Linked DNA regions of Arabidopsis thaliana. The protein of the gene in region 3 interacts with the protein of the main gene of each other region in a pairwise test. Each region holds a gene or a part of one and is shown on either strand. Other genes may lie near its edges.

The links.
Region 1: the proteins of AT1G71020 (region 3) and SCL30 interact in a two-hybrid assay, tested with the Arabidopsis thaliana proteins (one large-scale study listed by BioGRID).
Region 2: the proteins of AT1G71020 (region 3) and AT1G15170 interact in a protein complementation assay, tested with the Arabidopsis thaliana proteins (one large-scale study listed by BioGRID).
Region 4: the proteins of AT1G71020 (region 3) and AT4G35500 interact in a protein complementation assay, tested with the Arabidopsis thaliana proteins (one large-scale study listed by BioGRID).

The regions. Positions count from the first base shown.
Region 1 is NC_003074.8:20,557,817-20,565,557, reverse strand, and holds SCL30 (SC35-like splicing factor 30), read right to left. Parts: upstream 4,757-7,741; 5' UTR 4,656-4,756; intron 4,538-4,655; 5' UTR 4,535-4,537; coding exon 4,359-4,534; intron 4,259-4,358; coding exon 4,181-4,258; intron 3,081-4,180; coding exon 2,910-3,080; intron 2,769-2,909; coding exon 2,737-2,768; intron 2,555-2,736; coding exon 2,476-2,554; intron 2,394-2,475; coding exon 2,244-2,393; intron 2,159-2,243; coding exon 2,056-2,158; 3' UTR 1,673-2,055; downstream 1-1,672. Other genes in the region: AT3G55470 (Calcium-dependent lipid-binding (CaLB domain) family protein), read right to left, coding at 1-3, 972-1,037, 1,136-1,202; PBL1 (PBS1-like 1), read right to left, coding at 5,595-6,019, 6,207-6,330, 6,410-6,555, 6,634-6,769, 6,862-7,232, 7,351-7,429. UniProt on the Arabidopsis thaliana protein: Involved in intron recognition and spliceosome assembly. Probably active at the 5' splice sites.
Region 2 is NC_003070.9:5,216,861-5,224,201, reverse strand, and holds AT1G15170 (MATE efflux family protein), read right to left. Parts: upstream 3,800-7,341; 5' UTR 3,513-3,799; coding exon 3,246-3,512; exon of another isoform or gene 3,160-3,245; coding exon 2,615-3,159; intron 2,544-2,614; coding exon 2,457-2,543; intron 2,376-2,456; coding exon 2,319-2,375; intron 2,207-2,318; coding exon 1,968-2,206; intron 1,792-1,967; coding exon 1,586-1,791; intron 1,491-1,585; coding exon 1,446-1,490; 3' UTR 1,229-1,445; downstream 1-1,228. Other genes in the region: AT1G15165 (RING/FYVE/PHD zinc finger superfamily protein), read left to right, coding at 4,135-4,252, 4,491-4,650, 4,874-4,904, 5,291-5,459, 5,575-5,681, 5,943-6,085, 6,222-6,483; AT1G15160 (MATE efflux family protein), read right to left, coding at 6,657-6,728, 6,827-7,032, 7,166-7,341.
Region 3 is NC_003070.9:26,789,429-26,796,916, forward strand, and holds AT1G71020 (ARM repeat superfamily protein), read right to left. Parts: upstream 3,892-7,488; 5' UTR 3,678-3,891; coding exon 3,384-3,677; exon of another isoform or gene 3,171-3,383; coding exon 3,054-3,170; intron 2,963-3,053; coding exon 2,576-2,962; intron 2,486-2,575; coding exon 1,397-2,485; 3' UTR 1,121-1,396; downstream 1-1,120. Other genes in the region: AT1G71015 (plastid movement impaired protein), read right to left, coding at 1-321, 407-633; MYBL2 (MYB-like 2), read right to left, coding at 5,955-6,375, 6,462-6,588, 6,759-6,798. UniProt on the Arabidopsis thaliana protein: Functions as an E3 ubiquitin ligase.
Region 4 is NC_003075.7:16,854,411-16,861,578, reverse strand, and holds AT4G35500 (Protein kinase superfamily protein), read right to left. Parts: upstream 4,227-7,168; 5' UTR 4,105-4,226; coding exon 3,922-4,104; intron 3,509-3,921; coding exon 3,477-3,508; intron 3,470-3,476; coding exon of another isoform or gene 3,441-3,469; coding exon 2,675-3,440; intron 2,586-2,674; coding exon 2,538-2,585; intron 2,463-2,537; coding exon 2,172-2,462; 3' UTR 1,976-2,171; downstream 1-1,975. Other genes in the region: AT4G35510 (PHD finger-like protein), read left to right, coding at 1-867; MRPL11 (mitochondrial ribosomal protein L11), read right to left, coding at 5,194-5,661.

The DNA.
Region 1 (7,741 bases), on a different chromosome or scaffold from region 3:
CTTCTTCATTTAAGTAAACAAAAAAGATGAAAATTTGATAAACGATGTTTGTACATGAAATATGATAATGAGAAAAGAACATTGTCCAGTTTGATCCGTTATTGGTAAAGTAGACAAAAGCCGTTTGATTAAAGCCGTGCAATCAATATCTCACTAAAACACCATTTTCTTCAGTAAAACATTAACCAAGTCTAGCGAGGATTGTTTACATCACAGTAGTTTTCACATTTCACTACCCATTTTTGTAGGAAATGAAAATATTATTTCTTATAGCTAGTAGTTTGGTGTATTAGTTGGTGATTAGTTAAAAATAAGGTTGGCCAGACAATATCACACTAAATGAGATGACTACTTTCAGAAGAAAGCTCTATCCATACACAACATTTTTCAAGATTTAAACCATATACATGAAAACAAACTTGCAAGCTACCACAAAATGTCTCAAAATATAAAATAGTGTAATGACAAATAGTGAAATGATAAAAGTAGCGGAAAGCATTTGAGAGTTGGGATGAACAAATTTTGCCGAATAATCACGAACAATAGTTAGCTAGTTTTTGGAAAATTGATTGTTTTATTTTCAAGTTACACTTTTAAAACATGCATTTATATAACTTATGCATCATCAGAACGTAAAAACCTGATGAATGTTATAACTGATAAAAGATAATGAATGTTATCAAAACGCGAATAAATAGTATAGCCTAAGCTACCATGTAATGGCTATGAGGATAGTTGAAATACCAATGGATGCAAGTTGCAACTATTATTTACTTTATGTACAACCATCAACTAACACCAGCATGTGGGCTTTTTATTCCTAAAGTCCAAGTATATAGAAAAGAAAATGATGAAATTGGAGAAATAGTCTCTCTCGCATAAAACGAAAAAAAAAGTCAAACGAAATAACCCGAATTAAGCTGATAGAGATTTGGAAATATGGAAAGAAGGAAACTAGCAAGTTAAATTACCTTTAGCAACGCTGCTTTTGCGGGTTTGCCCTTTGTATTGGATCTCAACATATGGATCTATCTTACCTACAATCATACAAAACCAAGAAAAATATAAATTGTTGTAAAAGGGTTTTTTAAATGATCAAAGGATACGAAATCTGAGAGAATAGAGAGATCATTACCAAGAAAATCAGAGCGCTTGAGACCTTTGCCACTGATCAGACTAACCTCAAGGATTCCAACAGCCATCTCTGTAGAGTTATTTTTTAAGTTTTTGGGGTTTGTGTTGTTTCTAAAGAAAAAGAAGAAGAAGAAGAAGAAGAAGAAGAAGAAGAAGAAGAAGAAGAAGGAGAAAGAGAAACGATTGATGAAGTGGATGTGTCAGACAAAGTCTTTAAATACAGAAGCAAGAACACGCAGACTTTCTCGTTCACATAATGATTTTTTACTATTCTTATTTACTCTTTTTCAATTTTCAAACATAACCTGCGTCGTGGTTCCAAGACTTGATCAAACCAAACCAAACCATTATTACGTAACAGGAGGCAAAACCTAAAGTTTATAAGTCTGGTCAACTAAGCTAAAATGACCATCTTACCCTTACTTAGTTTAAGGAAAGACTCTTGGCTGCTTGAAAAATGTATACGAACCCAATTAAAAGTAGAAGTCTTTGGACTTTTGATCAAAACAGACCCAATAAAACATCATTATGGCTTCTTCTAGATGAATGAGTCTTTTTATTCTCTTCTTCTCAGAAATTCTTAGACCTGACTTTCCTAATTAAATATCTGCAAAGGCTGCTCGAGAACAAAAAAAGGTCGCAATTCTCGACCTCGACCATACGAGAGAAGACTTGGTTTACTCGCTCATTGTGGGTTTTAAACCTGTCTCACATCAAAAGCATAACCAATCTTCTTCATACAATTTTATAATAAGACCCATAAACCGAAACCGATTTCAAGTAACATCACATCACAAGACAAAATATCTTTGACAAGCCAGAGTAAGGAGTTTTTAAAGACACAGAGACGCACTACTAGAGAAATGCAAAACCCATAAAGCGTTGCACAAAGTTTTGGTCGGCCACTTCTTCACATAAGTTTCATCTTGGAGATACCTCCACAGACCTGGACCTGGATCCTGATGGCGACCTTGAAACTGCTCTTCCACCACGACGTCTATCCTCTGCTTCATAGCCCGGTTTTCTATTAAGACCAATCAATGTCCAGATACGAAAAATCAGACACAATCTTCAGGGGCAAAACAAATCAGACACCATGTTTCACTTACTCTCTAATCTCATTGTCTCCATTTCTGTCCCGATCTGGAGCAGCAGCAGCAGCACCTTCATAGCCAGGGGAGTAGGACCTACGACTGTAATTTTCATCTTCTTCCCCACGAGGAGGACCTCCTCTTCGTCTTGGTGCAGGAGAGTAAGACCTGTAACACCATTATCTAAAACCATATATACTTCTTGTTGACTTGATGATGATGGAAATGTATGTGTGATGAAGCATGTTACCTTGATCGGTATCTGCTTCTAGAATCTGACGGACGACGTGGAGAACGTGATCGAGAGATTGAACGTGAACGAGACCGTCCTGAGAACAAAAAATCATAAACATACTCAAGCTGTGTATACAAACCATGAGAACATGTATAAACAAGTGCTTTCTCAAGCTGTGTATAAACAAGTGCGTCCCAATCTAGCTGTGCTAATATTTGTGTAAACTTTGCTGGTATAGAACATAACATGTGCATAACCAGAGAGAAAATTACTAACCATGAGAACGATCCCTGGAGCCTGAAGGTTCCCTGAAAAATTGAGACAACGCAACGATTATTTCCTTCTCAACTTCTTTTCATAAATGATGGATAACTTGCAGAGCATTAATCACGAAGAGCGATTTGATTGATAACTCTTTTGCTTAAGCAATCAGAAATATGGAAACTTACCTACTACGAGTCCTAGTCTTCACACGCATCTCTTCAGGCCTTTTCCTAGACTCTGAAGCAACAACCACCGTTATCTCTCTTCCAGCAAAGCTTCTCCTGTTCATGCTTCTTTGAGCCTCCCCAGCATCATATGCATCAACAAACTCCACAAACGCAAACCCCCGCGGTTGCCTGCATCATTTATCAGAAGCTTATCATTCCAAGTGGTTGATGGTTGAAAGCAAATGCACAAAACACCAGATAAATCTAGAATTACCAGCAAAATCAGCCTACATTCTACAGCTTCTGAGAACTTCTAAGTAAACGTCATCGTGTGAGAACTTCTAAGAAAAGCAGAGTTCTACTTACGCTAATATGATTAGTAGCTGACCCTTTCATAACAGTTCAAGCATATCAACTCGAAAAGAGGCAAGCATCTTGTAAAAATAAGATGCACTTGATCCCAAACTTAAGTTCTCTTCAGGTCGTCTTCCCCAAAAAACTTCTAAGGTTTTGAGTAATTTACTGTATAGCTTCATAAAGAACATGCTTCACTTATTACTGCTTCCATTCAGAACATTCTTCACTTACTACTTGCTTCCAAACAAAACATTCTTCACTTATTACTTGCTTCCAAACAAAATATTCTTCACTTAATACTTCCTTCCAAATAAAACATGCTTCACATATAACTTGCTTCCAAACAAAACATTCTTGATTTGAAATGACCCTTAATATCCTTAAGTTAAGATTTTTTTCATGAGGCCTTCATCAAATGTGGGGCTTGGTCTTGTTTTAACTTCAAGCCAACATACCCCCTGGGAAATCAGTGGAATGTTTAATTTACTATGAAAAAAAGAACTCCAAAACAAAAAGCTCTGAAAAAATCGAGAACTCAACCAAAAGGACCTCTTCTCACCTCGAGAACTTAGCTCGATCAAAAAGTGGAGTGTATAAAAAAAGTAACATGCACAGGTTGCGCCAAAATCAAAATTCAAAACTCATATGTCACTTGCAATTTTCCTCACTTTGTGCACAAGTTGAAGACTTATGAACATCCTTTTTAATCAAAACAAATGGTTCAGCATTGAATGTGAAGCAGCAAAGTGTTTAGACAGCATTTTTCAATCGTAAAGAAAGCAAATTCTACAGGAAAACAAGAATCATATGCTAAGCCATTACCTAACTAGTCCATCTATAAAAGATTCACACCTCAAAAGACATAATTCGCAGCACAAATTTCAGGTACAGTGAAAAAGATCAAGATATCGAGAAGGAAAGAGGAGGCTTACCCTGAGTAATAGTCTCTGGGGATATAGACATCTCTCACAGGTCCAAACCTCTCAAAGGGCTCACGAAGCTCTTCTGGTCTACAAAATCAAAAACAACAAAATCAACAACAACCCAACGAAATCTTCAAAGATAAACTAAAACAAAATCAAAACTTTAAACCAAAGGAAGAGAATTTACCTGCAATCAAGAGGAATGTTACGAACCAAGAGACTTCCATGGCTAGATCCTCTACGTCCACCACCACCACCACCACCACCATATCCACGTCGAGGAGGAGGAGGAGGAGGACTTCTACCTCGACCACCGTATCCTCTCCTCGGAGGACTGTAATAAGGCGGACTGTATCTCCTCATCACCTACCATAGAAACAAAACGATTTCAACGCAAGATCCTCAATTTCATCAAAACAAAAACTTGTTTCTTGGAAGAACAGTGATAAATTAGGGTTTACGGTCGGAGGATTGTGGAATTTACCTGCGACGGAGTTAATTTGATCACTTGAGAGTAGCAATGTTCAAAGACAGATCTGAAGTGAACCCTAAGCCCTTCTTATGAGAGATCAGAGAATAGAGAAGAAGAAGACAGATCTTTTTCTATTGATCGGAGAGCTTGGCCCATTTATTAAATGGGCTTTTGGCCTTATCGCGTTTTTTCCTTTTTCGCGTATGTTTTTTTAAATGGAAAAAGGGAAAGATTGTTGATTGTTGACAATTAGAGAAACAGTAAAAAAAATTGGGGAAAAAACAGTTTTAGTAACTTTTAACATTTATGACAAAAACAAAGTAACCCTTAAATATATAAGTTTACTGAGGTGACTTGTGTTTTGGAGATTCTCGTTCTAAATTGATATAGGAATTTTGAAAACCTCAAATTGAGTTAGTTCTTGTTCTAAAATAGTGACTTATTTGGCTATGTTGAATAGTTATTGATATTGATTTAACTCGAGATCCATTTTGGCTTAATTAACGTAAAATTTATTTATTTCTGGTTGATGACAATGTTCATGGAATTTGATATTTATGGTATTTTGTGAACTTCGGAATTGATATTAATGTTACATTATGAGTTTGTTGTACTATTCTGTCTGTTTTTGGCTACAAGTTATTTATGATTCAATCATCAACTATACTAATTAAAGTCATTTTCATAAAAACAAATCAACTTGACAGAAATTAGTTACATATATAGTAAACTAAAATGTTAGAAGAGAGTGGAATTGATCACTACCACATTTTGGCATATATCACCAAACTATAGATAGAGAGAAAACAAGTATCTCCAAATCGAATATTTCAGGAGCAAAACTATAAGCAGTGTTACAAAATGTCAAAATCACTTCGCACAATATTACAATACACAAGAAGAAGACATGAAGAGTACCTAACCAAGTAACCTTATATTTCCCTCTACCTACTACAATCCAACGGTTTTTTTGTTTAAACCGTTTCTCTGGTACTTGTCTTCTGTTTTCAATCCCACAAGTTTCTTGGTATCCTTAACCTTAAGCGGGTCAACATTGGCCGGTTTAACCACGCTGTCTTGCAGCTGTACCAAGGCTCGAACCACTTGGTCCATGGTCGGACGTGATTTGGGTTCGAATGATAGGCATTGCACAGCAATGCTTGCCAGTCTCACTGCTCCTTCGGGTTTGTACTGTGAGTTAAGCCGAGTGTCCACAATTAGTAGAACCTTTCGCCTGCTTGTGAGGTATGGTCGAGCCCAATCCACAAGGTTTTGCTCCTTGGCCGGGCGGTTATGGTCTAGTGCTTGCCTTCCACATAGTAGTTCTAGCAGAACAACCCCGAAACTGTATACGTCGCTTCTAGCATTTAAGTGGCCTGAAAAAAGATAGAAAGATGAGAGAACGAAACTAGCTATCAACCCATATGCTCCTTTAACCACATAAATTTTATAGTTGCTATCTTCAAATTTACATTAAAAACCAGTGTTAGGCACCATGCAACAGTCTTACATTTTCTTATCCAACCATTATTACTTGCATCATATCTTAGTGACAGAATGTACCTGTTGAGACATACTCAGGAGCTGCGTACCCAAAAGTACCCATGACCCTTGTACTAACATAACTTTGTTCTCCCATTGGACCGTCTCTCGCTAAACCAAAGTCTGAAAGCTTTGCGTTGAAGTCCTGTTGTTTGAAAGACAAAACTCAGTATCTTTTAAGTCGTTGATAAAGACAACAAGTAGACATCGAAAGAGAAGAATACCGAGTCCAGTAAGATGTTTGACGCCTTGATGTCTCTGTAAATGACTTTGACGGGATCACTATGAAGAAATGCAAGACCTTTAGCTGCATCAAGTGCAACCTTAATCCGTAGAATCCAAGATAGCGGCTTAAAATCCTTATTTCCATCTTCAAAAAAATCATTCAAACATAAGAACAAACAACCTCTCAAAGTTTCACAAAACATGGACGAGATCAAAGACTCACTTGCAAACAGATGATTCTCAAGACTACCCTTGTGCATAAACTCATACACAAGAAGCCGTTGTTCATCTTCCAAGCAATAACCAATCAATTTAACCAAATTCGGGTGACTTAACTGCCCCAAATAGTTAATCTCTGTCTGAAACCACAAAAAAAAAGATCAATATCAGAACCTACACACACAAAAACAAAAGAGTGTTATAAATCAAAGATAAGAAACAAGTGTTGTACCAGCCATTCTCGGTGACCTTGAAAACCATCAGGGTTAAGTCGTTTAACAGCAATAACAAGACCAGAGCTAGATTTGGTAGGAGTAAGAGTAGTCTCATCAAGCCAACCTCTAAAGACACAACCAAAGCCACCTTCTCCAACAACAGAGTCCGATCTGAAGTTTCTAGTAGCGAGTTTAAGTTCATTAAAGCTAAAGCTTTTGACGGTCGTTGAGCTAAGGATTTCTCCTTCTGTCTTATGAGCTGTAGCTGATGATGAAGATTTACAGCTCGAGAGATGAAGATCATCGAGACCACTACTGCTCTTATCTGCACAACACACAAAAGCGTTGACCACAGTCAAAATTGAGAGAACGCCAAAAAAGGGGAAAACTTTATTCAGTTAGATCACAGGAAGAAGATTCTTGCAAATTTCATTCCTTTTCTTAAAAGCCATTATCGATTAACCAAAAAGATCACGGATTTGAAGAGATACACATGTGTGAATCACAAAAAAAAAAAAAAAAAAATGGGAGATGGAGAATTGTAGAGAACGTACTAAGGACACGAGAACTGAGACAAGAACCCATTTAGTAGAATGATGAAGAAGATCGTTTTTTTTTTTTGCACTTTTCTCTGACAATGAATTTCTTCTTATGCTGTTTTTGGGTGGAGCAGATTCTATCAGATAAAACTCATTAAAGCGAAATAATAAAGAGAAAAAAAAAAGAGAAAGAGAAAAAGTAAACACTGAAGAAGAGAGAGGATGAGAGAAGAGAAAGAGAAGATGTGTGTTGATGAGATGGTAGAGGCAACCGAAGGAAGAAGAAAGGTCTTTTTCTTGTCCAAACAAAAAAAAAACGAATTCAGACAAAAGTTATATTTTTGACCAAAAGATAATA
Region 2 (7,341 bases), about 22 Mb from region 3:
CTTGAGTGTCCACGTGTCACCATTTTCTATCCAAATCACTCCAAGTAAGTCATACTTTGGCGCCCTCTGTCACCCATGTGGAATTTAGCCACTATCTCTCTCCCTCCCATGTTTATCCTGCGCTGACTTCCCCTCACCCGTCATCTCCGCCGGTTTGATCTGGAATTAGGTGAGGGCTTTGTCCACTACCTCATTGGTTTATTTGAAGTGTGATCGCTCCTTCTTGCTTTGTTTTTAGATTTCTGTTCTTGTTCTTTGATGTAATTTATGTTTTTATGGTCTTGTTCTCTATGCTTTGTTAAAGTTGTGTGTTATGGCCATTGATAAAATGCAGTTATGTGTTACTTTTTACTGAAACAGACATCATCTGAGACCCAGTTGAGCTAGCAACAATGTCCTCCATGCGATATTAGCAACTGTTCAGGGTTTATAAGTCTCTTGCAGCCAGTTTGATTAATTATGCCCTCGTGTATATTTGCTTCTGAATTTATAAATTGGTCTCTGGTAGTTCCTTGTTGCAATTCTAATTTTGATATGTGATTTGTTCAGATTTGGACATTGTTGCTTGATCCATATCAGAGAAGGAAGTTGGTGATCGGATGATTGCACGGTTGCAACAGTTGACGAAATTTGACAACTTGCAGTGACAGCAACGTGCTTTAAAGAACTCATTCACAAGGCACGTGTGGGAGAAGACAACCGGAAGGAATCAATTATTTGTCATACCTCATGAGAAAATACTCCATTCTATTCTGAAGTGGAATTTTGGATGATATATGACTCTTAGTGTCCAACACCATGTTCCCTCACTGGTCAAGGTTCTAATGAAGATCGTGTTCATGCATTTGGTGTCAACTATCAAAGTTTAGTTCTATTAACTATATAAGCCCATGGAGAGTAGGTAATCATTTTTTGCTTCTGGACAGACTTATGAACATGTCTGTATTGAGGAATGTATCACTGATGGACAGCTCTTGCCCCAAGACTCAGTAGAAACTCTATGTTATGTTTCTAATTGACACTGAGGGTGCCTTTTAAAGCCTTGCCCCAAGATTGATCATTAAAATTGGTTTGATAACTTTAACAGGTTCGAGTAATTCAGTTACTCTTGTGAGAAGTGGGACTAGTGACAGGAAATCAGATGCTGTCAATTTGGAGATATGTGGTGGTTGTAGCAGCTCCATCAATACCACCACTTCTTGGTCTCTGCTTGTATGGTCAAGCTCACAGTCCAGTGAATCTGTTCATTATTCTTTGTTGTTGAGAACAGAGAAAAGGCTCCTTTTTGGAAAACCATGCAATATTACTTGCGGCTACCACTAGTCCAAAAGTAACATACAGTACAGCAATTTGACTACTAACAAAATGGTAAAACCGAAGGATCATCAGGTCCCTATATCTTCAGACGCGGAGATCTGATTCTGTAAGTGCTGTTCTGCAGCGCCTTATGTTCCATAGGCCAAAGCCATTCGATTCCTCGCTTTATCGGCCTACAGTTCAAACATGCATCCAATTCAAGATCTGTATGTTTATTTCACAAGAGAAACTAGTCATGAAGAAGAAAAGAACGAAAAAGAAGTAGGACCTGGCTTTCCCAGTTTGTACAGCCCGTGACAAGAGCAAGCAGAAGCGTTTGCAGAACGGCACCGGCTTGGATTCCAATCCAAAGGCCAACACCTTTCAGATGAATCCAGAAGGCTAAAGATGCAGCAATGGGTATCCCCCAGAGATAGAAAGCTCCTAAGTTTATGTAAGCTCCTATATGTTGCCATCCGCATCCCCTTGCAATACCTGCAAACCATCAAAAGACAATTAGGCGTGGTAGAAAAGAGTATATTTTTGGGATAGCTTTTGACACAGGACAAAACACAGAACATGAAGTGTCTTTGCACTATGTGGAGGAAAAGAGTAAACAATATCCGACAAGAACTTGTGTGTGAGTAAAGAAAGAAGAACAAGTCTCAGACCTGAGAGGACCCCTTGTAAAGCGTCAAGCATGAGAGAAATAGAGACCAATGGAGCCATCTTTGCAACATAGTCGATAGTTTCCTTGTCACTGCTGAAAATGTGCCCGAAAAGATTCCTGCCGATTAGTAGAGACATACTAACTATCAATGCATCAATAACTGCAAGAGACATTGCCGCATAGACCACGATATGTGCTGCTCGAGAGTTTCCAGCACCTAATTCATTTGAGATTCTTGTGCTGCACAAGAAATAAACATCCGCTTATGAATATGAAACCATATGATTCCTTGTCATGAGCAGAAAATATGCTTCAGTATTTATGTACTGCATAGTGTGACTAAAGCTCTAACCTTGCTGCAGCCGCGATTGCTAGTGGTATCGAATACATTGTTGAAATTGTCTGAAGACTGCCACAGTGTGAATAACATTATGTTCTTGCAAATTCAAAATTGTAACAAGAAGAAATTGATCGATGCAAGGAGGAGTACCAGACAGAGAGCACAGAAGTCTCCAGTTGTGGGTTGGGTAAGAGACCAGAGAGTAATATTATAAGTTCATAAGACCACCACTCTAGGCTGCAACACACAACATAATTTTTAGTGTGGAGGCTTTGAGAAGTGAAAAGGCACAGAGAAAAGTGAAGTACCAAATCATAGCCGCAGAAGGAAGAGCATATTTGAAGAACTCTCCAATGCCATCGAATATCTCCATGGAGAGCGGCGCACGTGTCTCAGAACAGGCAGAGGAGTAGTACATGAAAGATCCAAGGAAAATGGCATAGAGCCAGTTTGACAAACTGATAGCCAAAGCTCCTCCAAGATTACCAAGCCCTGAGTTGTAAACCAAAAACCAGCAGAGAGGAACGTGGATACAGAACACAACATAGGAGGTGATGAGGAGAGGTGTGATCAAACTCTGGTTTTGAAAGTAGCGAGTGAGCGGCTGTAGAACAGCGTAAGCAAACAGTCCTGGGATAAGCCAGGTGGCATATTTTCCGGCTTCGTGAGCAATAGAAGGGTCTTGGCCAAGGATCAAAAGAAGCTTTTCCATGTTGAACCAAATGAGAGAAAGAGGGAGACACACTAATGCAAGACAGAACATAGCAGTGTAAGTCTGAACTCCTAGTTTCCGGTATAGCTTAGCTCCATAAGCTTGACCACTCAAAGTATCTAAGGCACATGACAATCCTATCTAACACCACAGGCAAAAAGTAACAATCATCAAAATAACAGAGATAAGTGTATCAATTTAGGGGAAAGAAGGAAGAGAAAACAGACGATGAAGCTGAAGCCAGTGACGTTGCAGAAGGAGGAGGCGAGAGAGGCGCTAGCGAGGGAGAGATTGCCGAGGTGACCAACCATCATCATTGAAACGATTTGTAACATGAACTGAGCGATAACAACAGCAGCCATAGGAGCGGCGAAGAAGATAAGCCTTTTGAGTTCTACGGTGAATGAACCATCTCGCAGATCGCTCCATGTCACGTTCTCGACTCTCTCTACCGGCAGCAGCAAGCGATCCTTAGTGCTCTCTGCGTCTCCCATGGCTAAATGCAGAGTGATAGAGAGAGAATGTAAAACAGTAAATTTTGATGATTTGTGGGGGAAAGGGTCAAACAAAGGCGGTGAGTGATATTTGTGATTTGTGCCTGCATGTCCTCCTTCGACGAATCTTCCCAAACCCCGTAAATGAAATAATATTAAACTTTGGCTTAGATTTCAATGAAATATTTTTATTTTAAAAATGCAAATTTGTTTGGGATCTCGGTTTTTGCTGCTATGAATCTGTATTTTGACCTTTTTATCATCCACACTCTTTTTCAATCTATTAGTCATTCTATTGAATGGACGAAAGGTAGTTCGTTATAAAATACTACTATATGGATGCGAAGCTGGTAAAGTTTCTTGGAATTTTGCTAAAAAAATAACTAAATTGCTGGTCCATTCTCCAAAGGCTGTTTTTGTTTTTGTTTTCTCTTTTATACTTGGTTACACTTACACAAGTGGTTGAAAGAAGATAAAATAATGATATCCTGATCGTCCACGTGTCAAAACATATGAACGGAATCAAATTAGGTGCATAGAGCTAAAAAATACCGAACCAATCGGACCGCCCTTTTCTACCGCCGACGGTCACATAGAGACCCAAATCTCTCCGCCGTGTCCCATGCGCACTTTAGCCACTCCCTCTCCCCCATGTTTATCGTGTTCCATGTTTAGCCATGTCCGCTTCTGCCGCAATAGCCGTGTCGTATCCACCGCCGCCGTAGTATCTCCAGCTCTGAGTTCTGGAAAATTGTTTTAGGTTCGTCGATACTGTTCTTTGGTGGCATTGCCAATGCCTTCTCCTCCAGCTTTGATTCTCTTGGTAAATTACGCACGAGTGTATAATCTCTGTCGTCTATTTTTGAGTGTGTTCAGAACAGAGCTGTTTTTCAGGTAACATATGAATTGCTCATCTATGTTACGCTCTACTTGACCACTTAGGGATTGAATTTGGCTTGACACTGTTGGTTTTTGCAGGTTCCAGTAATGCTGTCAATTTGGAGATATGCGTTGCAGCGACTGTATTAACTCCATTAACACCACTTCTTGGTCTCTACTTTGGTTCTCAAGCTCACTGGCAGCTGAATTTGTTCGGTGAACATATAAAAGGCTTTGTTGGCATTATTTTCTGTCCAAGGTATTTCTGAACAACAAGAAATAAATCTTGATAGAAACAACGATTGATAAAGGCTGCTTCTTATTACTGTCGAAAATCATGCAGTATTCTTACAAAAAGACTCGTTATTAGCGGTGTGCCGCTAGTCCAAAAGTAGCAGAGAACGATTTGGCTGCTACTAAGATGGTAAAACCGGAGGAACGTATGGTCCCTGTAATCTTTAGTTGTGAAATTCTGAGTCGAGGAGAATTTGTCCGCTGCTAGCGATGCCCAAGGTATCCTCATAAATGATATGTTTCATTCATCACTCTTTCACAAAGATTCCTGTCAGTAGTTGTTGGAATCAAATTAAAACATTGGGTTTTACTTAGTATGTTATGACGTTATTCATGAATGGATTGCTTTTTTTTTTTGATGTTAAGGAACTTTTACCTTTGATCCATTTCTCTGTTGATTGTAGAAAGTCTTCTGTTGAGGGAGTAATTGGTAATCTTCTTGGGGACAGTTAATCCTGAGTTGAAAATATTAGTGCTTTCTAGTCTTTTTTTCTTCCTTTTTTGGATTCCTGTTCTTATTCTTTGTTTGCGTGATTCGTTTAATTTGATGGTCTTGTTCTCTATGCTTTGCTAAAGTTGTGGTTATGGGCATTGATAAAATGCAGTTACATAGAGATGTGTGTGCAAGAAATTATCTGCACTTTATTACAAGGTGTGGTCGATCTTCCTGTCGTTGGAAATTGCAAGACCTCGGAGTAAACCCGGGATTCAAGCCTTGTGTTCGTTACATAATTCACTTGAGGAAGCAAAGAACATTCTTCAACACTGTTTTGAGTGTAGCAAACTTTACTTGGTGAATTTCTCTTTATCTCACTTTCTTTGGATAGGTATCCTCCATTCTGTTGTGGTCTGTTGAATTCCCCCTTTTTTTTTTGGTCCTTGTAAACAGGCCATCACTGGGGATGCTATACCGTAGAAATTGAGAAACCAAAATATGCATGTATGAAAAGTCTTAGACGCATGGAGGACATTGTTCCTAGATCAAGTGGGTTTCAGGTGATGTCTGTTTTAGTGCACAACACATTTCCTTTTTCACATTAGGGCTTATGTATCTCTTGCTAGCTACTTGCTTGTCTTTTGTTTTTTTGATTACACAAGCATACCCTCGTGTTTATTTGTTTCTTGAAATTAGAGTTCGGATTGGTAAAACTTGGTATCTGCTAGTTCCTAGTTGCGAATTCTAATTTTGATTTGTGATTTCTTCAGATTCAGTGTTGGTGATCGGGTAATTGAACTATTTGACAACTCCTGTGACAGCTCTGGTGGAACGTAGTAGAACTTCTTCTAGATCAGCTATGGTGGAGGCGACATGCTTTAAAGAAACTCATTGACTGGGAAAGTGTGGAAGAAGACAAGGGGAAGGATTCCATTGTGGCTTACATCTTGCATCTCATGAAAAAGTACTCCAAGCTATTCAGAAGTGAAATTGTGGATGACAAATGACTCTGGTTAAGGTTGTAATGAACATCGTGTTCATGCGTTTGGGCGCCAACTATCGAAGTTTGGTTCTATCAACTATAAGCTTATGAACAGTAGGAAATCAGGACAGATTTTCATTCCACCAGAAGAACAGATATCTTTGCAGCTTATGCGTGATCCTGTCATTGTTGCTTCTGGACAGACTTATGAACGGGTCTGTGTCGAGAAATGGTTCTGTGATGGAAAACTCTTGCCCCAATACTCAGAAGCAGCTCCCACATCTTTCCCTGACTCGCAACTACTGTGTTACAAGTCTGATTGCGAGTTGGTATCAGCAGAATGGGATCACTGCATCATTTTCTGTCCAAAGTATTTCTGAATAAGTAGGATGAAACTTCATCGAAACAACGATTGCTGAGGGATGTATCATATGGTATTATTACAAAAAAGACCGATTATTCACGGCAAACGCTAGTCTAGCAGTAACATACAACGATTTGGCTGCTACCAAAATGGTGTAACCTGAGGAACAACATATGTGCCCCCGTTATCTTAAAAGGGAAGTTCTGACTCTGTAAGTTCTGATTCATGGGCCACAGCCATTCGCTTCCTCGCTTCACGAGCCTAGAGTTCAAATATGCATCCAACTGAACATCAATATGTTTATTTCACAATAGAAACATGTCATGAAGAAGAAAGAACAAAAGAAAAGGGAAAAAGACCTGGTTTTCCCAGTTTATGCAGCCTGTGACAAGAGCCAGCAGAAGAGTTTGCAGAACGGCACCGGCTATTATTCCAATCCAAAGGCCAACACCTTTCAGATGAACCCAGAAGGCTAAAGATGCAGCAATGGGTATCCCCCAGAGATAGAAAGCTCCAAAGTTTATGTAAGCCCCTATATGCTGCCACCCGCATCCGCTTGCAACACCTGCAAACCAACAAATGAGGGTTAGGAATGGCAGAAAAGAGTTCACCTTTAGTTATCTTTGACTAAAAAGTGCATAACATAATATTCGACACTAGTATATGTTTGAGAAAAGAAATAGGAACAGTTCTCGAACCTGAGAGAACCCCTTGTAAACTGTCCAGTATGAGAGAAATAGAGACCAGTGGAGCCATCTTTGCAACATAGTCGATGGTATTCTTGTCACTGCTGAAAACTTGGCCCAACAGATTCTTACCAGCTAATAGAGACGTACCCACCATCAATGCATCCACTACTGCAAGAGACATTGCC
Region 3 (7,488 bases):
AAGTTTCTTCCTCCATTACGAAGCAAATGTTGTCTTTGATGAATCAAACCACTTGGTATGTGAAGGAGACAAAGTTGTGTGATCTTGTTGGAGAAATCAGAGCCACTCTCACTCTCTTTCCTCAGTTTCTCAATTTTCCACTTTGGTAACTTCAACTTCACGCTACTCACTTCTCTCTCTTCATCATTAACCTCTGTCTTCTTCTTCATTACCGAGAGATCAGATGATGATCTACGAGACAGCTTCAGATTCTCTAATCTCTCCTTCGCACTCATCTGGATTCCCGACCGAACCCTTCTTGGAGTTCTCTCTTTCCATGTTCTGTCACATGGGTTTTAAATGATTTACTCAAAAAGATTCTAACTTTGATACCTAAAACTAAGTAGAAAATTGAGGAATATAATACCTTGGAAGTTCAACCATGAAGTAAATCCTTTTGGATTCCAAGTTTTGGTGAGGCTCCAAGGGCTTTGCTCTGATTCCTAAACGCTTCACTGCTTCGGATTCCAAGAGAACGTGGCCTGGAAAATCTTTAACCACTGTACCAGCTTCCACAGGCGTTTTCAGTTTGAAACTCTCGCCATTGATGTTCATGATTGTCGCTGTTTTCTTGGTTCCCAAGCTATTTCCCATTTTGGTGAATGATGTTGTGTAAAATGTTAGTATCTTTTAGGTTCACAAATGAGATGAAAAAACTTTGTAGGTTGGTGTCTATTAAGAGCTCAGTAGTTCAAGGTGGGTGTTGTGTTAGATCAGATCATTATAGATTTTGGATTTGATTTATGGTTGGTTGCTGATGATAGTGAACCATTTCTTGGTCAACAAAATGCCAAAATCTTGAAAATTATTAAAACAATGAGAAGACAAAAGTTACGTCGCATTTCACTATCAATCTTGAAAAGACCAATAACAACCCAAAATTTATGCTTAATTTTATAAATAGAAATGGAAAATGTGTACTGTTCTTCACTTCGACCATAGTATATTTTGTACTATGTGATTTTGGAAGTTTTGAGACCAATGTTTTCTGAGAAAATGACACTTGCGTTAATCGCTCCGATTAATCTGGAAAACTACGTTGTCGAAACATTTTTTCTCAAAGACACGTGAAGAGATTGACTTTTAACGAATTTGAAAACAAAAAGCTGATTTGATTTCTCTTTCTAGGAACAGTAACAACACACGACCTTTATCAAATCATATGAAACATTTTTTTTAACAAAATTAACAAATCAATACAAAGATGAGTCAAAGAGTTCGATTCTCGTTAACTCTTTTGACTCCACCTTCTCCTCAAATGGAAATTAAATTAGTCTTCCAAAAACTCAATAAGATACAGGACATAATAAACAGATCAATAGCCAGCAAAACTAAATTAATTCATGTTAAGGGCTATTTAGAGTGAACCTAATTTTCGGGATGATTTACGGAGAAGCTCTAGTAAAGAATTAGCTTTTCGTTTAGCTCTCTCTGTACCGTCTCTTGATAGTTCCATCAATGGAACAACAGCTCCAAGTCTACCAATGGAGATCAGTTTTTCAGTATCTCTCTTGCAAAGACACAGTAGTATCGCAGCTGCGTTCTCTCGGTTTCGCGGTTGATCCTTCTGGAGACAATCTATCAAAGGTGGTATTGCGTTGGCTCTCAAAATCGCAGTTTTCGCGACTTGGTTACTAGCTAGAACCGAGAGTATGGTCAAGGCTTCATCAGCCATCCTCTCGCTCGAGGAGTCTGTCAGCATTTTCACCAATGGCTTTACTATACCGGCTCTAACTGCTCTGCCTTTGTTTCCCTGGTAAATACACAAGTTGAACAGAGCCGTAGCTGCGTCTTTCTTCCCTCTGACGCTTCCATATTGAAGCAGATCCACTAAGGCCATTATCGCACCTGATGCGCCTATAATGATCTTGTTCTCATCAGCTAACGAAAGACTAAAGAGAGTAGCTGCAGCGTTTTCTCTAGCTTCCATGCTTCCAGCTCGGAGGACTAGCACTATAGATGTGACTGCTCCTGCAAGCATGATCAGTTCTTTGTTGTGTTCGTATATGGAGAGGTTAAGAATGCAAGTGACAGCATTTTCCTGCGTTTCAGTGTCACCATCTGAGGTCAAAAGCTTGACCAAAACAGGGATGGCTCCTGCCTCTGCAATCAGAATTCGGTTGTCTGTGCTTCTTTTTGACAGAGAGCGGATTTCAGAAACCGCAGTCCTGCGGTCTTCGATTGATTGGCTAGAGAGTTTACAAACCAATGCTCGGATCGCTGACATATCTCCACTTAGATCACGGAAAGACCCATCACTGTTTTTGGTCCTACCGTTCATGTAACCACCTGGTTGCTCAATGTTGTGCTTAGTGCACCACTGAGATATCAGGCTTCTGAGGACATAGTTTGGAGTAAGAGTAAAGTTTTCAAGTTTCTGCTGTGTCTTTGGGCAGCTCAGATTTCCACAGTCTATCCATCTCTGAATGAACGACCTCTCGTATGTCTGCCAACGAAGAGAGAAGATCATTGTTAAGGTTTCAAATCAACAACCATACGTTAGCACTATATAAAGATTTGATTTTTTAAACCAGACCTGTCCTGTGGAAACAATAGCAGGATCCTTCATCAGTTCCAGAGAGATTGGACAAAGAAAGTCCTCTGGAATCGTGAGATTATCCGATTTCTGTGAGTCATCGCTGTTCTCGGTAACTGCTTTCTCTAATCTCTCATCATCACCATCCTTTGATAAAAAGAAGGCCAATGATACTGAAGAGCTCTTCCAAGGAGGGGGTGATTCAAATTTCTTCTCATCTGATAAAGAATGCACTGTCTCTGGAATACTCTCCAACTTTTCAATAACTTTTCTATTACTTGAGGCATCTTTCTCCATTGGCTCAGATAAACCACTCGAGAACTTCTTCGAATTTAACGATCCATATCTCTGCATTGCTCTTCTTAACTGTAATCTTGCTAGTTCCACCTAATCACAAGCAAAAAAAAACCCTTAGAAACACCTCCATGGATAGGAAAACCAAATCTTCATACATTCTACATAATGAACAAACTTTTACCTGTTCACGGACTTCGTCAGAGATATCATATCTATCATATGTCAAATCACCTAATGCTTTCTCCAGCTTCCATGTAACACATTGGAACTGGAATGAGATCCTCTTGGCTGCCCCATCCTTCAATCAAAATCACACATCAAAGTTTAGAGAGCTCCTCATGTATATATTAATAATGCTCTTCACTACACAAATGTCAACAATAGTATCTTCCAATCTAAAAAAACTAAAAACAAATTCTTCCTATAAATTACGTTCCTGCCATGGCGAGACCAAATCTTCGTGAAATCACAAATCCATTTTCAATCGTTGAGAATGGTTTAGAATGCTTACAGAGGACTCGCGAGCTTGGAAACTAGTAGCTGAAGACAAAAGACGCTTCGCGGCTTGAAGTCCCACCACAAGATCAGACCACCAATCACATTCATGAGAATTCAACGAAGAAGAAGCATCAGATTCCGACGGCGGAGAAGAATCCCTGATTTCCTCAATCAAATGCGTCAGGAGACCGACTCGTCGCGCGAGATCGGAACAATCCTTCTTAAACAAACCAAAATTCCCCGGAATCTCATTGATTTCAGCAATAAGACCGATGAGAGAATCGGGAGTGATAGCTCCACCAGCCATTACGCCGTCTCACACGGCGGCTTAAAATTCGAATTTTTGTGACTCGCTCTCTCTCTCTCGCTGGCTCGCTTCTGACTCAGAGATGCGTCTCTATCGCTTTTATGTATCCAACGAAGCCATGTGGCGAAAAAGGATAAGTCGCTGTTACGACACCGTTTTGGTTTTAGTGTTTTTTGTTTTAAACTTTTTATCTAACTCTAAAAATGGTTTTTTCTTTTCTTTTTAGTTTACTGGCTTTATATTTTTAGATAAAAGTTTATGTGATACATTTAAATAATACAATAGAACAAACTAGATAATTGAGAGCGAGATTCACGGTGCAAGTAGAGGTTGAAGAGAAAATGATACAGTTGTCAAAAAAATAATCAATTATTATCATTTATATTAGATCAAAACTGTATAATAGAAATGAACTATACTTTTAAATTCAATAAAAAAATCCACTTTTCTATTTATTGAAGAAAATGGTTTGTTGTGTGCTTAGTTGTAAAGTAGATCTTATATGATTGTATTTTATAGTTGTGTTGAAATTTATGTTGGAGTTATGAAATTTATCTGTATGTATTATTTATGTAATCTTAAATGGTAATAAATAGTCAAATTAGTTATTTTTTCTATTTGAAAAGAAACTAAGATAAAATTTCCAGGCCTTTAGATGCATTGTATTGACATGTGTTTCTAGTATATGATCTGTCTTACCCTAGTGTTTATTAAAAGATGGAAAAAATCTTCTTTGTAATTAACTAAATATAGCTTTACATGTTTTATTTTCCCTTAAAAATAACTTTGTATGTGTAAGAAAATTTAATATCTCTTACAGCAAAAATGTTCTAGAAAAATTATGTCAATTAACATAATTTTGGTGAGTATTATATAGCCTGCAAATGGAACGGTCGAACATGACCCGGTAGATCGAATTTTAACAACATTTTAGATAATTTGAAGCATGTATACAAATTGGGACCTATAATTTTCTTAAAACTGTTTTACCACAGTTTAGTATACTTTTGATTAAAATTTATAAACATGACTTACATATAGTTTGTGACAGTCTTGTATTGAAAAGTTATCTCGGTTTAACAAAAGAAAGGTTCAACCACGACATCCACATCATATCGGCCGACGTCCATGCCCGTGACTTCTGCGTCCTACATAACAACCGATAGCAACTTGAAAAATAGACAACATTATCTTTTAGACATTTTTGGCAAGTTTGACTGGCTGGTTTCATAATTATTTTTGGACATATGCAAAAATAAAAAGATCTACATAAAGAAGAGGGTATTCGTCTGAATCAGATGAAGATTAATAACCTTGAAGTGTTTGATGAGGCATGTGATTTTTGCTTGCACATCCACACACAACTCTCCATTAACCACAATACTCACCGTTATTTCTGAAATTTATGGTGTAGTTGTACTTGCGGAACAATATGAAAGTGAAGGTGAGATCAGAGTTTATACAGTTGTGGAAACAACTTCTTTGATGGTTGTAGATCCCGCAATCGTAGAAACAACCTTAATGATGATTGTAGTTTCGATGATAAATATTGGTCCATTTTCTTAGCAAACAATCTCCTCTTCTATACTTGTCAAACATTCATATTCTTTGGTCATGCAATTTTGTTTAATATTTGATGATGTTTGAATAGCGGTTGTACAAATGTATTTACTTTCTAATTTTTATTTTAAGCATGTATGAAGATACTTTAAACAAATTCATTGTGAGTTTTGTTCAAAATATATGTGAACGTGTTTGTACTAGTTGGTGCATATTTGACCGTATAGTCTCCATGCTTAAGACATCCTTAAATCGATACATTTCATTATTTTATAAGTTAACTAATTTGCTTCCTTTATATCTTTAGTAAGTAATTTTCGTATTTATAGATTCCTTTGTGCGAAACGAGAGTTTGAAATTGCTTTTGAATAAAGAGTAAAGTGTAGTTTGGAGGAAAATGAACATACTTGTCCATTTTAAGAGAGTTAATTAATACTTCCCGTCAATGTGCACCGTTAACATTGCTGTATTAGCTATAATTTCTTACAGCTTGATTGATCAAATAAGCAGCGGTTATCGTCGGTTAGTTATTAACGATCTACTATAATACTAATCACTGAAAACAGAACCGGACATTTAAGAGAATAGTTGTTCAATGACCAGCCGGTCCAATTCAGGATTAACATATTTCAAACATCGTTATACCATCTCTCTAGTGAATATTATAATATGTGCATTTGTAATATAACAAATGTGTACAAACAAATACACCATTTCTCATCGGAATAGAAGAAGCGTTTCTTGACCTGTTGAACCATTGGTAGAGGATTCGCTAGAGTCCTGAAGGCAAAGAGCTGGCAAAGAAGTCACGGCCGGGATGAGACCAATGTTTAGGTCAGGCAAATGACTTCGTCCGGTACTAGTACTATCCTCCGAGCAATTGGTACTTGGAATGGGCAAAATTGTTACACCACATGATTCGGATACCGAAGAAGATTGATCACTAATAATCTTGGTTTCATGTTCCTTATGTGAAGAATGGAGGTGACGTCTAGAAATGTAGTTGGTGTGATGGTGGAGACGATGATTGGTTGGGTCGATTCCCATTTTTACGAGCTTCCTTTTTAGGTAAGTTTCCCAATGGATCCTAACTTCGTTGTCGGTTCGTCCTGGCAATCTTCCCGCTATCAATGACCATCTGAAAAAACATAACATCAAAATGATTATTAGCACGTACCGTTCACATTACTATTGAATTAAAGAATAAGAAGAATGAATACGAACCTATTGCCAAGAAGTGCATGAAGCTTGAGGATGAGATCGTCTTCATCTTTTGAGAAGTTGCGTTGTTTAACTTCTGGCCTTACGTAGTTTCGACCTCTCAATCGACATCTCTTACGGTGTTGCATACCTAAGAGAAGGGATCAAAATTTAACAAATTAAAACGATATATCGTCACAAAGTCACGTATGTACACATGTATATCTATGAATTCTACATCGACCTCTTTAAACTATGAATAATTTGGTGATGTGAATAGCAAAACACATGATTAATACTGTTTAAAGAGAAAATAGTTACCGGAAGGTGGGGAGAGAGCACGAAGGCGGGTTTTGTTCATGTCTTTTTCAAAGTGAGATTGGTTGAGTTATGTCTTTTTTTAAAACTGTTGATAGATTGTGAGGTGGTTTGCGAGAAGAAACTGATATATAGGATTAGGGGATGGCTTGAGGAGGTTTGACTTGGACTGGTGGGTTGAGAGAAGCGTGCATGCTCAATCAAACTATTAATGAACGAGGAAGAACAAGAAGAATACATCAACCTTGTTAATTGGTCCCACATTTAGGAGTTGAAACAAATAAAAATTGGTCCCATATTTGTTCAAATCCATTAGAATTTGTGGAATCATGAATGTGGAAGTGTGTCGCATTTAATTTGCCTTACCAATACCAATCCAAATCTCGCTCTTATCCACATTTTCGTAAAATATATGTACGGCTCCGATAGATACCTTTTGTGAAATATCAAAGATGTGTGTGTGGTATCAATAATAGATTCACTAAAATATATATTAAGCAAGAAGAAGACGAAGAAGATATTTGACTAGTGGCTCAAAATTATTTGGATGCATTATTTGATAAAATATCTGAAGCTTCCGAATATGACATGAAAATAAACAAATTAAGAGAAAATAGGAAACCATGAAATTAAAGAGTGTAGGTTCAGGAACAGATAAGGGAGAAACATGGGAGCATTCAATTGAATTTGACTGGTGGTTAGGACTTTGTATACGAGGAATTTTCTAATTTCA
Region 4 (7,168 bases), on a different chromosome or scaffold from region 3:
TCTTCCTCTACTTCAAACTCAAACGGATCTTCCTCTGCTTCCACCAATGTTCAGACCCATCTCGGCAACTTGTTATCTTCTCCTTTCAACAATGACCAGTCACCTGAAGAGCTCGTGGAGGCAACGAGATCTGCAGCTGCTTTAGCGGTTAAAGCTGCAAAGGCTGCGAGAGCTATTGCTAACGAGAAGGCTTTGATTTCCGCTAAGGCGATTGCTGCGGCTAAGAGGGCATTGGAATTGGTTGATTCTTTTCCTAAAGAAGCAATGGCTGATTGCAAGGAGAGGTCTCCTAGGAAGAACAAGCAGAAGAAACATGTCCCCGTCGAGCTCTTGTATTCAAAGGGGCAGCTAAGAGACGAGGAAGATGATTTAGCGCGTAGGTTGCATCGAGCTATAGACAATACGTCGTATCCTAGAGTCTTGAGAACTAGCGAGGAGAATGGTCAGAGATACAAGAAGCAGAAGAAGAACAAGAGCGTAGTTGAAGGTGGGAGTAGTAGTATTATAGTGACCGGTTCTATGAAAGACATTGCTGGAGTTGTGGATTCAGACAGCTCCTATGAAGGATTAGAGATAGCTAGATCAAACAGGGATGAAGCGGATTCGATGCTGATGATGGAGAAATCAGGGGAAGAAAGCAACTCATTGGTTAAAAGAAGAGGAAGAGTGAAGCTAAAGAAGCTTCCTTTGAGCATTTGTAATTCTAGAAATCAAGAAAACGGAACTTCCTCCGCGTCTCCATTACCGGTGGCTCAGCCGCAGGAAGACGGTGGTGCGATCACGGTCATAGCAGGATCGTCGTCTTGGAAATGCCAGGACATAAAGGCACCAGAATGTGTGAAGCAGAACAAAGCCGTACGGTCATAGTGACTACCATTGTCTACAGAAAAAATGACTCTTTTTTTCAAGATTTGGTCAGCATTACCATTTTCGGTAGAAGAATCACATTGTTGTTTCCTTTTTTGGATGTGTTTTAAAATTTATGTTATATATTGTTAAATATATACATAATACATATATGGGTTTATTCGCAGTTGTTGTGTAGAAGAAAGTTTGATATTTTGGATTCATAGATGCAATAAAGTGATGTACTTGTTTTTTGTTGAATGGTAAGTTTTTTCTTCATCTAATCCATTTTTTATTTGCTAAGAAACAATTAGCTAATAAGAAAATTACAACGAAACAAATATTTTTGAATGGATTCAACGATTGGATACAGGGTGTCACGTGTAGATCCACGTGGTGATATGGAACGTGTGACACAGAAGTACACGCAAATTCTCTAAAGACAAAGCTACGAAGTCATGTACGTCACATGTGGTCTGAAAGTTAAAAACCCATCTGGCCATGTCGCTTTTTAGAATTACTACTAACTAGAGTAAATTTTTATTTTTTAATTTATATGACAGTGAAATTTCAGTTTCACCATTTAGGGTATTTTGGTTTCTATCAAACCTAAATTTATTACTTGAATAAATACATTGACAATGACATGTCTAAAATAGGAACTTCATGTTATATTTTGACCAGGTATACTAAAAAAACTCATATGATAGTCAATAAAGTATAATGTAACTGCACTATATCTACATGACGCTGACAAAAACAACCGACAGAAACATTTATATTTTTAACAAGAAAATAATTTTGTATTAACCGACAAGAAACAAATGAACTATCATTAAAAAGAGGGATAAACAAAATTTGCAATTTAGACATACGTACTACTAACTCGTAAATTATGGGATCTAGTAATTTTCTAGATTCGATCAAATACTAATTACCATTTTTTAGTTAAAATAAATTAAATTCTGATAGAAATAGATATTAAAACTTTTTGTTAGCAACCGAAACAAACCCAAAACCAAATTTGATCTAAACCCAAACCAACTGACATCTAGCAATAATATCAAAACATCAAAAGAACATTCAAAATTCAAAGTCTAAAATAAGAAGATGCAACATCTTTGTTAGTCAATTCATCGCTACATAGACATTCTTAATAAGCAACAAATGAACTCGATGGTTAAATCAATATATCATAGGTCCCCCCAAAAAAAAAAGAGAAATTATACAAAACAAAAAACATATAAAGAGAAGAAGAAAGTTATATTAAAAGAAAACGAACAAAGGAATGAAACCACAAAAAAAACAAGAAGTTTGAGTTTCTCTCACCCTTTGATATGCAAGTTGTTCATTTGGTCATCTACATTTTCTGCATCGTTCTGTGTTGTTACATTCATCCATGGATGATCCAAGCACTGTTGAGCAGTTGGTCGTTTCTCCGGCGCAAACTCAAGAATCGGAGTCAGAAACTCAGCAAACTCCTTTGCTTCTGCTTCCGGAAGCTTATATTTATCAATCAGCAAGCGATCAAGTGGCCAATATTTCAACCGTCGGATTCTCTTTAAGTCCCCGTGTCTGTCAAAGTAGTCTTTCGATTTCGCCCCTCCAATGGCAATCTGCTCAAACAAGCATATCAAAAAGCAGACTATAAACCAAGAAAACACAGTGGGAAAGCAAAAAAAAACACATACCTTTCGAGGCATCTTTCCTAGGAGTTCCATCATAAGAGCAAGGTGATCCTAAATCCAAAACCAGATAACAAAAACGTATAAGAAATCAGGCTAAAACAATGAAGCAGCAAACTCTTGAGGTTAGATTTAGATCTTACCTCGTCTTCCCCATAACCATTTCCATCTTTAGGTGCAAATAGCATATCTCCTGTGACAAGCTCGAAAGCCGTACAACCAAAAGACCACATATCAACAGAGAAAGAGTATCCTGACTTTAGTATTACTTCAGGAGCTCGATACTGTCTTGTTTGTATCTCTTCAGCAAACTGTTTATCAGCCCAACAAGCGTTACCAAAGTCAACCACTTTGCATCTCATATCAATCCCATCTAGACTTTTTTCCGTTTTCGATGATGCTTCTTCACCTGTAACCATTGAGACTCTTCTTTCTGATATTTTAGCAACCGCTCTTTTCGCTCTTCTCTTTAGTTTCTTCTCAATCAGATTCATTGTTGATGCGCCACCGTTTGCGTTTCCCTCTGGTTTTTCTAATAGTGGGGTGAGTCCAGATCTAACGGGATCTTTGGCAGGGTCAATGGTGGAACAAAGAAGAATGTTTTCAGGTTTTAAGTCGGAGTGAATCATACCGAGCTCACGGTGCAAATAATCTAAACCAGTCAGTATACATCTGCAAATCTCCCGGACTTTATTCAGTTTCAGACCTTTGTACTGGTTGTATCTGATTAAACGGAGCAAGCTATCGCCGAGAAACTCAAGCACCATGCATAAATGCTGCCCATTTGGACCACTATGCTTGAAATGGTCAATAAGACGAACAACACATTTCGTCTTGTCGAGATCCCCATCAGCAGCAGCTGAAAGAAATTCGATTTCGTGAAGTGCAGCTTGAGCAAATTGTTGTGCACTCTTCTGAATCTTCAAAGCAACATAAGTCTACAACAAGAGACATAAAAACATACAAAGCAAAACATTCTTAGGATATACTTTATAGGGTGACAGTTACCTTCCTATGATTAAAGATTCTATAACCATTTAATACGCAATCCATTTTGAGCTAACAAATCTGGTAAACTAGAGGAGACTACTAGTACAGTGCCAAATCTAGGGCTATAATCCAACAATATCAAAATCAGAATCATCATCACATGAAGCAATGATCTTGCACTAAAATCTATTGGACTTCTAAGAGTAACAGATGCGTATTGTATATAAAGGACGAGTCTTTAGCTTGCAACAGTGCCATTGAAATGTGATTCAATCTCGATATGTCAGAGATCAGAGGCCAGATGAAAAATGAAACCAATGAATGGTTGATGTCAAAATGAAGAATTACGATCAAAGCAACAAAACAATCGAAGAAATGGGAAAAGAAGAGAGATGCGTACAGAGGTGAGCGTATCGTAGGCAAGCCAAACGGTGGAGAATTGACCCCAACCAAGCTTTCTCTGAGCGATGTAACGACCACCGGAAAAAGGATCGCCGATCCTGACGGCGTGATAACCACCTTTACGGTAAGCATCGAAACCCTCTTCTTCTCCTTCTGATCCGGAAGAAGATGAACAAGACATATCTCTATCTAAAAGACGTGTCTGAATTCCACCGGGTCGATTTTGATCGTAAAAATTGGATCTTGGCAAGGACCCAAACAAAGACAAAGAGCTTCCCTTTCTTAGAACAGAGAAAGAGAGAGAGAAAGACAAAGAGAGGAATGGCACTCAGATTGCGTGTGGCCCTGAAACGTAAGACCCTCTCCACTTTTTGCTCTTTTCTGTGATTTTTTTAATCAATCTCGTTGCTTCAGATTTTCCCGATTTAAACTTTTTTTCCCTATTTCTCTATTTTGCCCTTTGCTCCGGTCAGGTGTCTCTGTCTTATTGTTTCCCAAGGGCCAAGTCAATGTCTTGCTTGACCAAAAACATTCGATATGGTACCAAAATTTCAAAAACTTCCATAGACAGACGGCAAATTTTAAAGATCCGGTCACAAAAGCAACTAGTTCGAGCTGGACATTTCATCGAGCTTGATAGTCATAACTCATAAGCTTGGGGCTCGATTACAGACTCCAAACTAATCTCCAATGAAACACAAGAAAAGTTCTAGTTTCTCCAAACATACAACTACAAACAAAGCTGTGACACTTGAAAACATATTGCAGAAGAAGATTCAAGCAACTCAATTCAAAAGCTTTCAGTTTTGTTAATTTGAGATTGTTGTTTCCTTAAGATCCTACTTATGTCTTGCCATTTCAGACCACCCCCATTGTTCCTTCAAATCACTGAGCTATGAACACACAATTCTCTGAAAAAATCGAATTTACAGAGGAAAACTTCTTCCATGGAATCTGATATATCAAGTTAAAGGACCAAACTTTAGAATACTTTGCTCATACGAACAATTTCTACATCCACAACAACAACAATGCAATGTCTTTACTGTCCAAATTATTCAAACGATCAAAGTTAAACAAACTCAATATCTATTTTGATTTTGGAAAGCTTTTGGAGCTCAATTATCCATTGAAACAAACAACACAATGGAAGTAACACCAAAACACAAAACAATCTGTGAAATTCATTCATGGTTTATACTTTACTACTCAAAGCAAAGACGTTTACCAGAAGCAAATTGATTCCACTCTTTCATCAGAAACCCTAAAATCACTCCAAATCCTGAACGATCTTGATACCCATAGAATTAGCAGTACCAATGATGGATTTGCAAATCGATTCCAACGGCATATACTGACAAAACGGATCCGTCTGCTTCACCTTCGCGATCTCGTACACGTGTCTCACCGATAGCGTCGTCACCGACAAATGACCCGGGCGTGTGCTTCCTTTATCGACTCCAGCTGCTTTCTTGATGTACCACGACACCGTCGGAGACTTGACGGTGAATTCGAAAGAGTTGTCCTTGAACGCCGTTATCGTCACGGCCATCGGAGTGTCTGGTTTGTACTTTTGAGTCCTAGCGTTGAAGTCTTTGCAGAAAGCCATCAGGTTAAGCCTGTACTGACCTAGCGCCGGACCTACCGGTGGGGCTGGCCTCGCTCCTCCCGCCGGAACGGTTAGCCTTATTGTTGCCGCCACTGGTCGCCGTAGGATCTCCTTCGCAGCAGCCGCCATTGTTGCGATCGTGATGAGAGCTTCACTGTTCTTTGAGGGTTTTTGTGACAGTATATATTGGGCCTTTGCTTTTTATTTGGGCCTTATTTTTAGCCCATTAGATTCTAAATAATAATTTCCTATTTCGTTGTTTTGGACGTGTTGGTACCTTGGTGGGATTATCATGTCATGGGACGGTGACTGAATAATCAATAGTTAGTACATGACAAAACAATTTCAATGAATTAACAAACAGTGTTAAGTGTAATTAACTAGGAACAAATATAAATAAAGAAGATGGTTGACTTTTAACATTGCCTTGTTTGACCCTATACTACAGAAAAACTAATCAAATAAACGAACAAAGAACTTTAATTATCCAATTTTAATCTATAGTTATAAAATTCTACCTTGAGGAAAAAAAAAAGTTGCAAAATTCTATTATATTAAAATGGCATAGCGATTGAATGGAACGTTTATGACGTCATGTATATGTATATTGAAACTGATGTTTTAGTTTAATGACCCCAAAAAGTCAAAACAAGTTAGCGCACCGACATGATATTGCTATTGCGTTATAATCATGGACACATATAGAACACGTAACACACAAGCATGACTTTGACTCGTTGTTGCTGTACATTATTCAACTCTTTTAAGTCTCTCAAACTGATTGTATGGGCTTTTTGAAATTGTCAACCTTCGTTACTTCGAAACTACCATTTCTCTATCAATTATATATTGGATTCATAACCACACTACTATATGAATAAAGTTATATCTGGCTAGCTCCACTAAAGTATGAATTAGTTATATGTGGTTAGCTGGAATCGCATGGACTATATCATATATTGATTATATGTCAAGATATAAACTTACTTGCTTGTAATTGGTGCAAGTATTTGCCTATTTGGCCGTAGACCGAAAGATGTATAGAGATTTTGAACATAACAAATATAGCATCTTTATTTGAGTAAAAAACAAACAAAATTGTTGTTGTATCCAAAATATGGATTATTGATGCTCCAAACCCCAGTACAATCGATGCTTCCAAAGTCCATAATTGTCGTTGTTTTTCCCGTTTATTACATGTCATAATTAATGCTTCCGTTCTCAATTATTGTTGATTTTCTTCTATTTAATCCGATGTGCTAAGAATGTCTTATAGTTTTAATTAGTGGTTTAATAACTCGGTTTGCTTTTTCACCTTTTTGGTTCCATATACGACGTCAAGACTCACATCACACGCATTCACGCAAAAGACTGATATTCCATTCCGATTGTACTTTGAACTTCAAAGTTATTATTCTTTTAATATCTTTTTCCATTTATTATTTTCTAAGTTCCATCTATCTATCCCTCTCTAGAGTCTAGCCCAAGACCGATAATCTTGTGATATTTCGGCTGAAAATCGTTTTAAAAAAAAAGTTTTAGGTAAAATTTATCGTCGTTGGTTTGATTTGATAATATATTGGGTTGATTCGATTTTTTAGTGTGAAAACCATATTACAATATTTCAGTTAGTAGT